Linked DNA regions of Cricetulus griseus. The protein of the gene in region 1 purifies or fractionates together with the protein of each later gene. This does not show direct contact. Links are inferred from orthologs where the notes say so. Each region holds a gene or a part of one and is shown on either strand. Other genes may lie near its edges. The genes, in order: Pstpip1 and Was.

Region 1 (3,810 bases):
CTCATGTGCTTGGGAAAGCCAGTAGAGATCCCTGTAAGCTTGAGGCTGTCCAGATGGGCAGACAAGGTGTAGTAGTTTGAATATAATTGGTCCCTATGATATCTCATAGGGAGTGACACTATTGGGAGGTGTGGCTTTGTTGGAGTAGGTATGGGCTTGTTGGAGGTAGTGTGCCACTGTGGGGTGGGCTTTGAAGTTCCCTATGTTCAGGGTACTGCCCAGTGGCTCAGTCAACTCCCTGTGGTCTGCCTATCAAGATCTAGCCAGTACCACATCTGAGTGCCGACTTGCTTCCCACCATGATGATGGACGGAACATCTGAAACTAAGTGAGTCACCCCAATTAAATGTTTCCTTTATATGAGTTGCTGTGGTCATGGTGTGTCTCCACAGCAATAGAAACCCTAAGACACAGGGTTTACAATGAACTAAGTTTCTGCCTTAGAGCCCTGTTTGTGAAGGGTCAAGTTCCCAAGGCAAGGGATGCCAGTAAGAGTAAAGTTCCCAAGGCAAGGGATGTCAGTAAGAGTATCTCATACAAGAGAGAAACTGAGGCACAGGAAGGGGAAGGACCTTTCCTGGATCTCCAGACGCTGCTTGGCCCCAGCTCTGAGATTTAGCCACTTACCCTCCAGGTGGGCCAGGTGCTCAGCCAATCAGAGCAACAGACTTTGGAGAGTTGTTCCCTACCCCAGCCTTGAAGCCTCCCTGCAAAGCAACCCCAAGCCTGTCTGCTCTTACTGCCTGCCTGCAACAAAGCCTGAACTCACACACTGCCCGCGATGAGGCACTCACTTCCTTCCAGTGTAGCCACTCCTTGTGGGCACAAGTGCCTTCAAATGCTTAGCTGAGCCTGAAGCCTGTGCTGCACCCCTAAACAGTGTCTTTCCCCTCCCTGCTGAGCCACCCTGTAGAGTACTGGCCCCAAGTCCACCTGTCTTCAGAACCAACAGCAGTAATCCTCATGTTCAGGACCAGCTTCCAGGGGCCACTCAACACGAGTTGGCGCCTGTGGACAGCTGGCACTGTTGCTGACCCTCCGCAGTCTAGGAAGTAGGATAGTCAAGCCCTACATCTTTTCTTCCTCCTGGCATGGCAGCCTCCATGGGGCATTCTGTCCCAGAGCTAACCCTTTATGGAAACCTCATTGTCATGGTTGGTTTCCATTGTCAACTTTATATCCCTAGGAAGACAGAGACCCTCAGCTGAGGAATCGATTCCATTGGATTGACGCATGAGTGTGTCTGTAGACCATTTTCTTGACTGTTAATAGGAGGGCCAGCCCACTGTGGGCAGTACTATCCCTAGGCAGGTGGCCCTGGGTTATATAAAAAATGTATCTGAACATGAGCCTGGAAGCAAAACCAGTGAGCATTTCTTGTAATCCCTGCTTCAGTCCCCACCCTAGTTGCCCTCAGTGACAGATTGTGACATGGGAAGTGTAAGCCAAATAAACCTTTCTTCCCAAGTCAGTGTTTTATCACAGCACAGGCTAGCAAACTGGAGCACTCACCTTCTCCCTGTCATCAAGCCATACTTCCCAACTGGCCCCCAGAACGGGAGTGACCTTAGCCACCATCCCCTCCTTGGTCCCGCAATCTTCCTCCTCTGGCCTCCCATCCCTTCTTACCTTCTTCCGCTGCTCTTTCTGCCTCTCACGGAACTCCTCCAGGCTCCGCAGCTCCTCACGGAGGGCCAGGGCCAGCTGGATGTGTGCGCTGCCCACGTTCTCTGTCTCTAGGGTGACAGCGTGGCCTCTGCCTGGATCAGTCCGGCACCCTCACACTTCACCTCCCAGCCCTCACATCTTCCATCTAAATCTGGACCACAGCCGAAGCACACACCCCAGTCACCCCTGTGAGAGCTGTGCCCTATAGCCCTGCTGCTATAGGGGATGGTTGGAACTTACGCTGCTTCAGGGAGTCAAAGGAGGTCCTCAGGGAACTGCAAAACAGAAATGCAGGTCTGCAGGCAGGCATGCTGCAAAAAACCTGATGTCCTGCCTGGCCCATGGCACTTTTATTTTGGAGGGAGGGTCCTAAGCCATATATACACTACCTCTGGATGCAAGGGACCCTTTGGCTATGTTCATCGTTAATGTGATCCCCAAACTGGCATTCTAGTAAACCAAGTTTCCTTTGTAAATTACAAAGCAATCAGACCTTGCTATGGCAGGAAAGGAAGTCATCCACCCTCCATTCCCTCACTCCCTGCTTCTGTTTGCACACTTAGAGAAGAGAGGTGGGTCCCGGGAAGCTCCCTGCCCTCTCTGAGACCTCCCCACCAGGGCAGGCACCTAGCCTAGTGCTTCTGTAATCCAATGCTGATAGCAAGAGTCTGAAGCAGGGGAATGACCTTTGACAGCTCCTTCCAGCAGGTGGCCTGGAAGGCGAATAGAAAGGGTCACAACAGGGAGAGCTATTTGGACTGTTCCAGGGAGGGAAGGAAAGGAAGAGGCTCCACAGGGCACAGGAGCCCAGACAGTGCTCAAACGGGAGGGGGTGCTATGTGGAGGAACTGCAAGCACCTTGGGAGTGGGGGGGGGGCAGTGCACCACCTGGAGTCCCAGCACTCAGACAGCAGAGGGAGAAGGCCACAAGTTCAAGGCCATCCTGAACTTCACAATAAGCCTCTGTCTCAAACACCCCACTCCCTTTCTCAGACATCTCCACAGGGCTCAGTTTACTTGAACTTTATTTTCAGATGGCTTCCTGAATGCCCCGAATAACAAATGATGAACACTGGAGTAAAGAGCTGTCACTGTGTACTGGGAGGGGCAGAATCAAATGCCCTGTATTCTGTCTGGCAGCCTTGTTTGCCCCAGAGCATGGTGACACTGAGGGTTGAGCTGAGGCTCCAGCACTCCCACCCCAGACACACTGCTGTTTATGGGTGGGTATAGGAGTCCTGGGGCAGATACAGGAACTACAAGAGAGAGAGACCCACGGAGCAGGGTCTTTGAAGGGCATGAGCTGTGTTCAGATGATGGTGTGGAGATCAGGGCGTCTCCTACTGTGGGTTTCCATACACAACAGCTGTAGACCCTGGAGCCAGATGACCAGGCTCTTCCACTTATCCACTGTGTGACCCTAGGCGAGCCGCCTGGCCCTGCATCTTCACTTCCCTTCTCTAGGGAAACACAAAGTGGTAGTGAGAATGTGAGTCCAGCGAAAGGTACCATGGAGGCTTGGTACAAGGTAGGAGCTCTGCCTGTCACACTCACACATATGCAAACTCTGCCAGTCCTGGGGACATCCTCCAGGCACCAGCAGCCCACCTGGCCTGCTCCCAACCCCATACTGCCCCTTCTAAGAGTTTTCCAGTGCCCCCCTTCCCAGAAGTTGCTGCCTTGACCTCAGGTAGGAGTCTGCCTGGCTACCCCAGCTTGAGTCCTTTCCCAGAGCCCTTCCCCAGGTGAGTGGCATGGGAGCAGATTCACATCAGGCTGTGGATGGTGAGGGAGGTCTGCACGTCTGTGCTCCCAGCTTGGGTTTAGTGTACTGAATCTCTTAAGGACACAAAAAAATGCATGGTGGCACAGCTTGCCCCAAGGTATTTAGACACCATCTGTAGCCCCTAGCTAAGGAAAATAAAAATGCCATGGCTTCCTTATCACCAGGATGCCTGAGGAACCAATCAGTCGGGCTGCTGTGGAAACTGAGGCTAGAGTATGGCAAGGTCACTAAATATCCCAGTCAGCAGCCTATTAGCCCTTTGTTACGGTCTTTCACTGCCTCTCTGCAGAGTGCTCTCCCGCCCTCTGGTGGTACAGTTGTCATATGACACCCATCTCATAACCAATTCTCCTGGT
Region 2 (3,910 bases), on another chromosome or scaffold:
GTTTCTCTGTGTAGCTTTGGAGCCTATCCTGGCACTCGCTCTGGAGACCAGGCTGGCCTCGAACTCACAGAGATCCGCCTGCCTCTGCCTCTCAAGTGCTGGGGTTAAGGGCGTGCGCCACCAACGCCCAGCCTAGAAGACAATTTTAAAGAGTAGGTTCTCTTCTATCTTTGTGTGGATTCTGGGGATAGGACTCAGGTCTCCAGGTTCAGTGACAAGTGCTGAGCCAGCTCACTACCTCTCATTTCTTTTTTTCACTATCCATTTACATACCCATTCATTAATTCACTGGACCATCCATTCATTACTTGAATACAAGTAAGTATTCACCCATTTACCCAAATACCCACTCACTTATTTATCTATAATCTATCATCAGTTCATCTTCCAATTTACTCCTCTATCTGCTGCCAATCCATCAACATGCTCGGCTATCCACTCATCCACCCATCCACCTAGCCAGCCATCCACCTCTTTACAAATTTAGGCATTCATGCAACTATTCATTCATCTAACTCCTCACCGTCTCTCCAGGGACATGAAAAGCACCACTCGTTGGAGGCCAGCCTGGTCTCCAGAGGGAGTACCAGGATAGACTCCAAAGCTACACAGAGAAACCCTGTCTAGAAAAAAAAGAAAGAAAACCACCACTCACCACCCTGGTCTCCGCCTGGATGTGGGGGCAGAGGTGGGAGGCCTCCTCTTCTCTCTGGGAAAATGGAAGAAGTTAAGATGTTACATTGTTGCCACAGGTTTCTGGCTTAGTTCCTTATAACAGCTACATGAACTGGAGGACTCACCTTCATTGGTTGGTGCTGGTGGCGGTGGTAGCTGGCGTCTTTCTGTGGTTGAATAGGTAGACTGAGAGTCAGAACCACAAGAGGGGCTCTTCCAGCCTCACCTCACATGTCTAACTTATCTCCCCAACCCCCACCAAGGGCTTCTCCTTACCTCCACTTTGCCTCTGATTCCTTTTTTGTATCTTCTCCTGCACCAAAGCCCTGAAGGCCTGGGCTTCACTCTCGTCCGAAAAGTTCAGTCCTACTTGGCAGTCCTATATATGCCTTGGGGTCAGCAAACTTCTAGCACTCCCTACCCCCCAGGCTTTCTCCTGGCCTCCCCACACCCCAACTGCAGCCCAAGGCTAGGCTGCTCACTTACATCTCCAGCAAAGGTGTGGAAGAAGGGAGTGGGAGTGAAGTAGACCAGCTGTGAGTACAGCTCCTGTTCCCAGAGTAGCCGACCAGCCTGGAGAGGGGCAGGGTGGGGGACATGCTGGCATGCAGGCACTGTGGGTGGCAGACTTTTGTTTTCTGATCAGGGAGTGTGGTGTCCAGATTTGGTGTCCTAGAGTCTTATTTAGAGATCGTCAGCTCAATAGCAGAATTTGGGGTCTAGGTGTCTGGTATGGGGGATTGGGAGAGAGTCTTAGAAGCTGACACTGATGTGAGAGATCTAGGTCTGGGATTTGAGGACCATTTGTAGGAGTTGAGGGCTCAACGCCGTGAATTTAAGATTCTAGGCCTACAGGCCGGGCGTTGGTGGCTCATGCCTTTAATCCCAGCACTCGAGAGGCAGAGGCAGGCGGATCTCTGTGAGTTCTAAGCCAGCCTGGTCTCCAGAGCAAGTGCCAGGATAGGCTCCAAAGCTACACAGAGAAACCCTGTCTCGAAAAACAAACAAAAAACAAAACAAACAAACAAAAAAAGATTCTAGGCCTACAAATATTCACCATGTTGGATTCAGAACAGATTTGAGGCTTCGGCTCAGGTAGAAATGTGGTGTTTCAGGGGAGTTTGTGGAGCTGATCAGGACCCTGGCATGGGCCTTCTGAATTCAGTCATCTAGGACTCCAATGAGAAAACACAATTTGGGATTTGTATTGGTCTTTGGCTCTGGAGTTCTGATGGGAAAAAGGGCTTGAGGCTACGGACAAAAACTGGTTTTGCAGGTTGGAGACTAGCTTTTCTGTCCAGTGGGGCATTGGGTCACCTGAAGGCCATAGAGGCGAATGAAGTAGGACTTCTGAGGGTTATCCTTCACGAAGCACACAGCCCCGCAGTGTTCCATGGTCCAGTGCTCAGCTCCAGGGGGCAGTGCCAGGTACAGCTGAACAACTGCAGTGGCCAGTGTCTAGGATGGGACAGCAGGGGGTCACTGGAGTCTGTGCACGGGTAACCAGGCCTGGCCCCTGCCTGCTTGAGGCTGTCATGAGCTTGGGGGAAAGAGCTATAGCCAGGAGGAAGGTAGATATCAAGATAGTCCTGGGATCCACAAACTGTGGTAAGTGGATGCTGGGAGAGGAGATGGGGGAAAGGGAAAAGAGGGATGATGGGAAGAAGAAGGAGCAGGGATGTATGGGTAAGAGGAGAAGGCAAAAGGGGGAAGAAGAGGTAGAGAGGAAGACGAGGAAAGGGAGGGAGACTGGGAGGACCAGGAGATCCCCAACTCACCCAGCATTTTCGGCCAAGCAGCTCAAAGAGTCGCTGGTTCTCATGGTCCTGGAGGAGGTTGGAAGGAATGTTCTGCTGAACTGCTGGTCCCCCTCGACCCCCAGGCCTGCCTCCTACAGGGCCACCACTCATGGTGCCTTCTGCCCTAGTCCTCTTCGGCTAAGCTCTGGGTGCAGGGTAAGAAGAGGAACTTCCGCAGTGAGCAAGGGAACAGGAAGTGCAATAAACCACAAGGGAAACAAGTCCTCCAGGGGCCCCCAGAGGGCCTGTCCTCCTCGGTAGAACTGACTGGGGCCATCCTCCATTTGCCTAGCTAGAACCATGTTTGTAATGAGCTCAGGGATCCTTTCTTCCTTTTCTTTCTCTTCCCCCCTCTCTGTCCCTCTCTCTGTCTCTCTCTTGCCATTTCCTTCTGACAAGCTCAGATCTCGCTCTAGTTGGTGCTGAGAGCTAAGCCATCTGCAGCACTTCTACAGGGTTCGCTGCTCAGAGTAGTCACAAGGCTGTGTCATCTCCTTCTTCCCTAAAGCACCAGTCTGGCCTGGGGTTGAGTCCAAGGCTCCAGGTGCTGAAGGGTCATTGCATTACAGCTTTTCCTTGCAATGGCGCAGTGACCCCATCTCCAGCCTTGAACATCGCCAACAACATATAAGCCCATGGCTTACTTCCTCATCATTTACCCTTGCCTCCTGTAGCTCCCTCTTTACTTTCTTCTGATCAACCTCATTCTGTTTTGTTTTGTTTTTTGTTTTGTTTTTCGAGACAGGGTTTCTCTGTGTAGCTTTGGAGCCTATCCTGGCACTTGCTCTGGAGACCAGGCTGGCCTCGAACTCACTGAGATCTACCTGCCTTTGCCTCCCAAGTGCTGGGACTAAAGGCGTGTGCCACCAATGCCCAGCCAACTTCATTCTGGAAGGAAGGACTTCACAGTATAAATAAATTCTAAAACAACATCTTGATTGCTTTTTTAATATTTGTTTTATTTTTATAATGTATTTAACTTTATTTTAATGTGCATTGCTGTGAAGGTGTCAGATCCCCTGGAACTTGATAGTTTCCAGTTGCCATGTGGATGCTGGGAATTGAACCTGGGTCCTCTGGAAGAGCAGACAGTGGTCTTAACTGCTGAGCCATCTCTCCAGCCCTTGATTGATATTTTTAAATTATGTTGGGACTTTTCAAAAGTATGTAACCTTTGAAGGTTTGATTTTCGCCACTTTTGGTGATGAGAATTGGATACAGGATCTTGCTGAGCAGTGGTGGTACTCGCTTTAATCCCAGCAGTCTGCAGGCAGAGGAATAGGATCTCCGAGTTCCAGGCCACCCTGGTCTACAGACTGAGTTCTAGGACATCTAGGGCTGTTACACAGAGAAACCCTGTCTCGAAAAAGAAAGAAAGGAAGGAAGGAAGGAAGGAAGGAAGGAAGGAAGGAAGGAAGGAAAGAAAGGACCTTGTC

Evidence for each region.
Region 2: the proteins of Pstpip1 (region 1) and Was purify together in Homo sapiens (affinity purification with western blotting; 3 studies listed by BioGRID and IntAct, with this or other methods). This does not show direct contact. The link is inferred for Cricetulus griseus from reciprocal best matches to the Homo sapiens genes PSTPIP1 and WAS.

Annotation. Positions count from the first base shown.
Region 1 is NC_048597.1:167,628,408-167,632,217, reverse strand, and holds part of Pstpip1 (proline-serine-threonine phosphatase-interacting protein 1), read right to left. Parts: intron 1,944-3,810; coding exon 1,909-1,943; intron 1,737-1,908; coding exon 1,630-1,736; intron 1-1,629. UniProt on the Homo sapiens protein: Involved in regulation of the actin cytoskeleton. May regulate WAS actin-bundling activity. Bridges the interaction between ABL1 and PTPN18 leading to ABL1 dephosphorylation.
Region 2 is NC_048604.1:114,563,919-114,567,828, forward strand, and holds the start of Was (wiskott-Aldrich syndrome protein), read right to left. Parts: upstream 2,635-3,910; 5' UTR 2,586-2,634; coding exon 2,454-2,585; intron 2,134-2,453; coding exon 1,993-2,133; intron 1,249-1,992; coding exon 1,162-1,248; intron 1,055-1,161; coding exon 952-1,054; intron 843-951; coding exon 801-842; intron 710-800; coding exon 656-709; intron 1-655. UniProt on the Homo sapiens protein: Effector protein for Rho-type GTPases that regulates actin filament reorganization via its interaction with the Arp2/3 complex. Important for efficient actin polymerization. Possible regulator of lymphocyte and platelet function.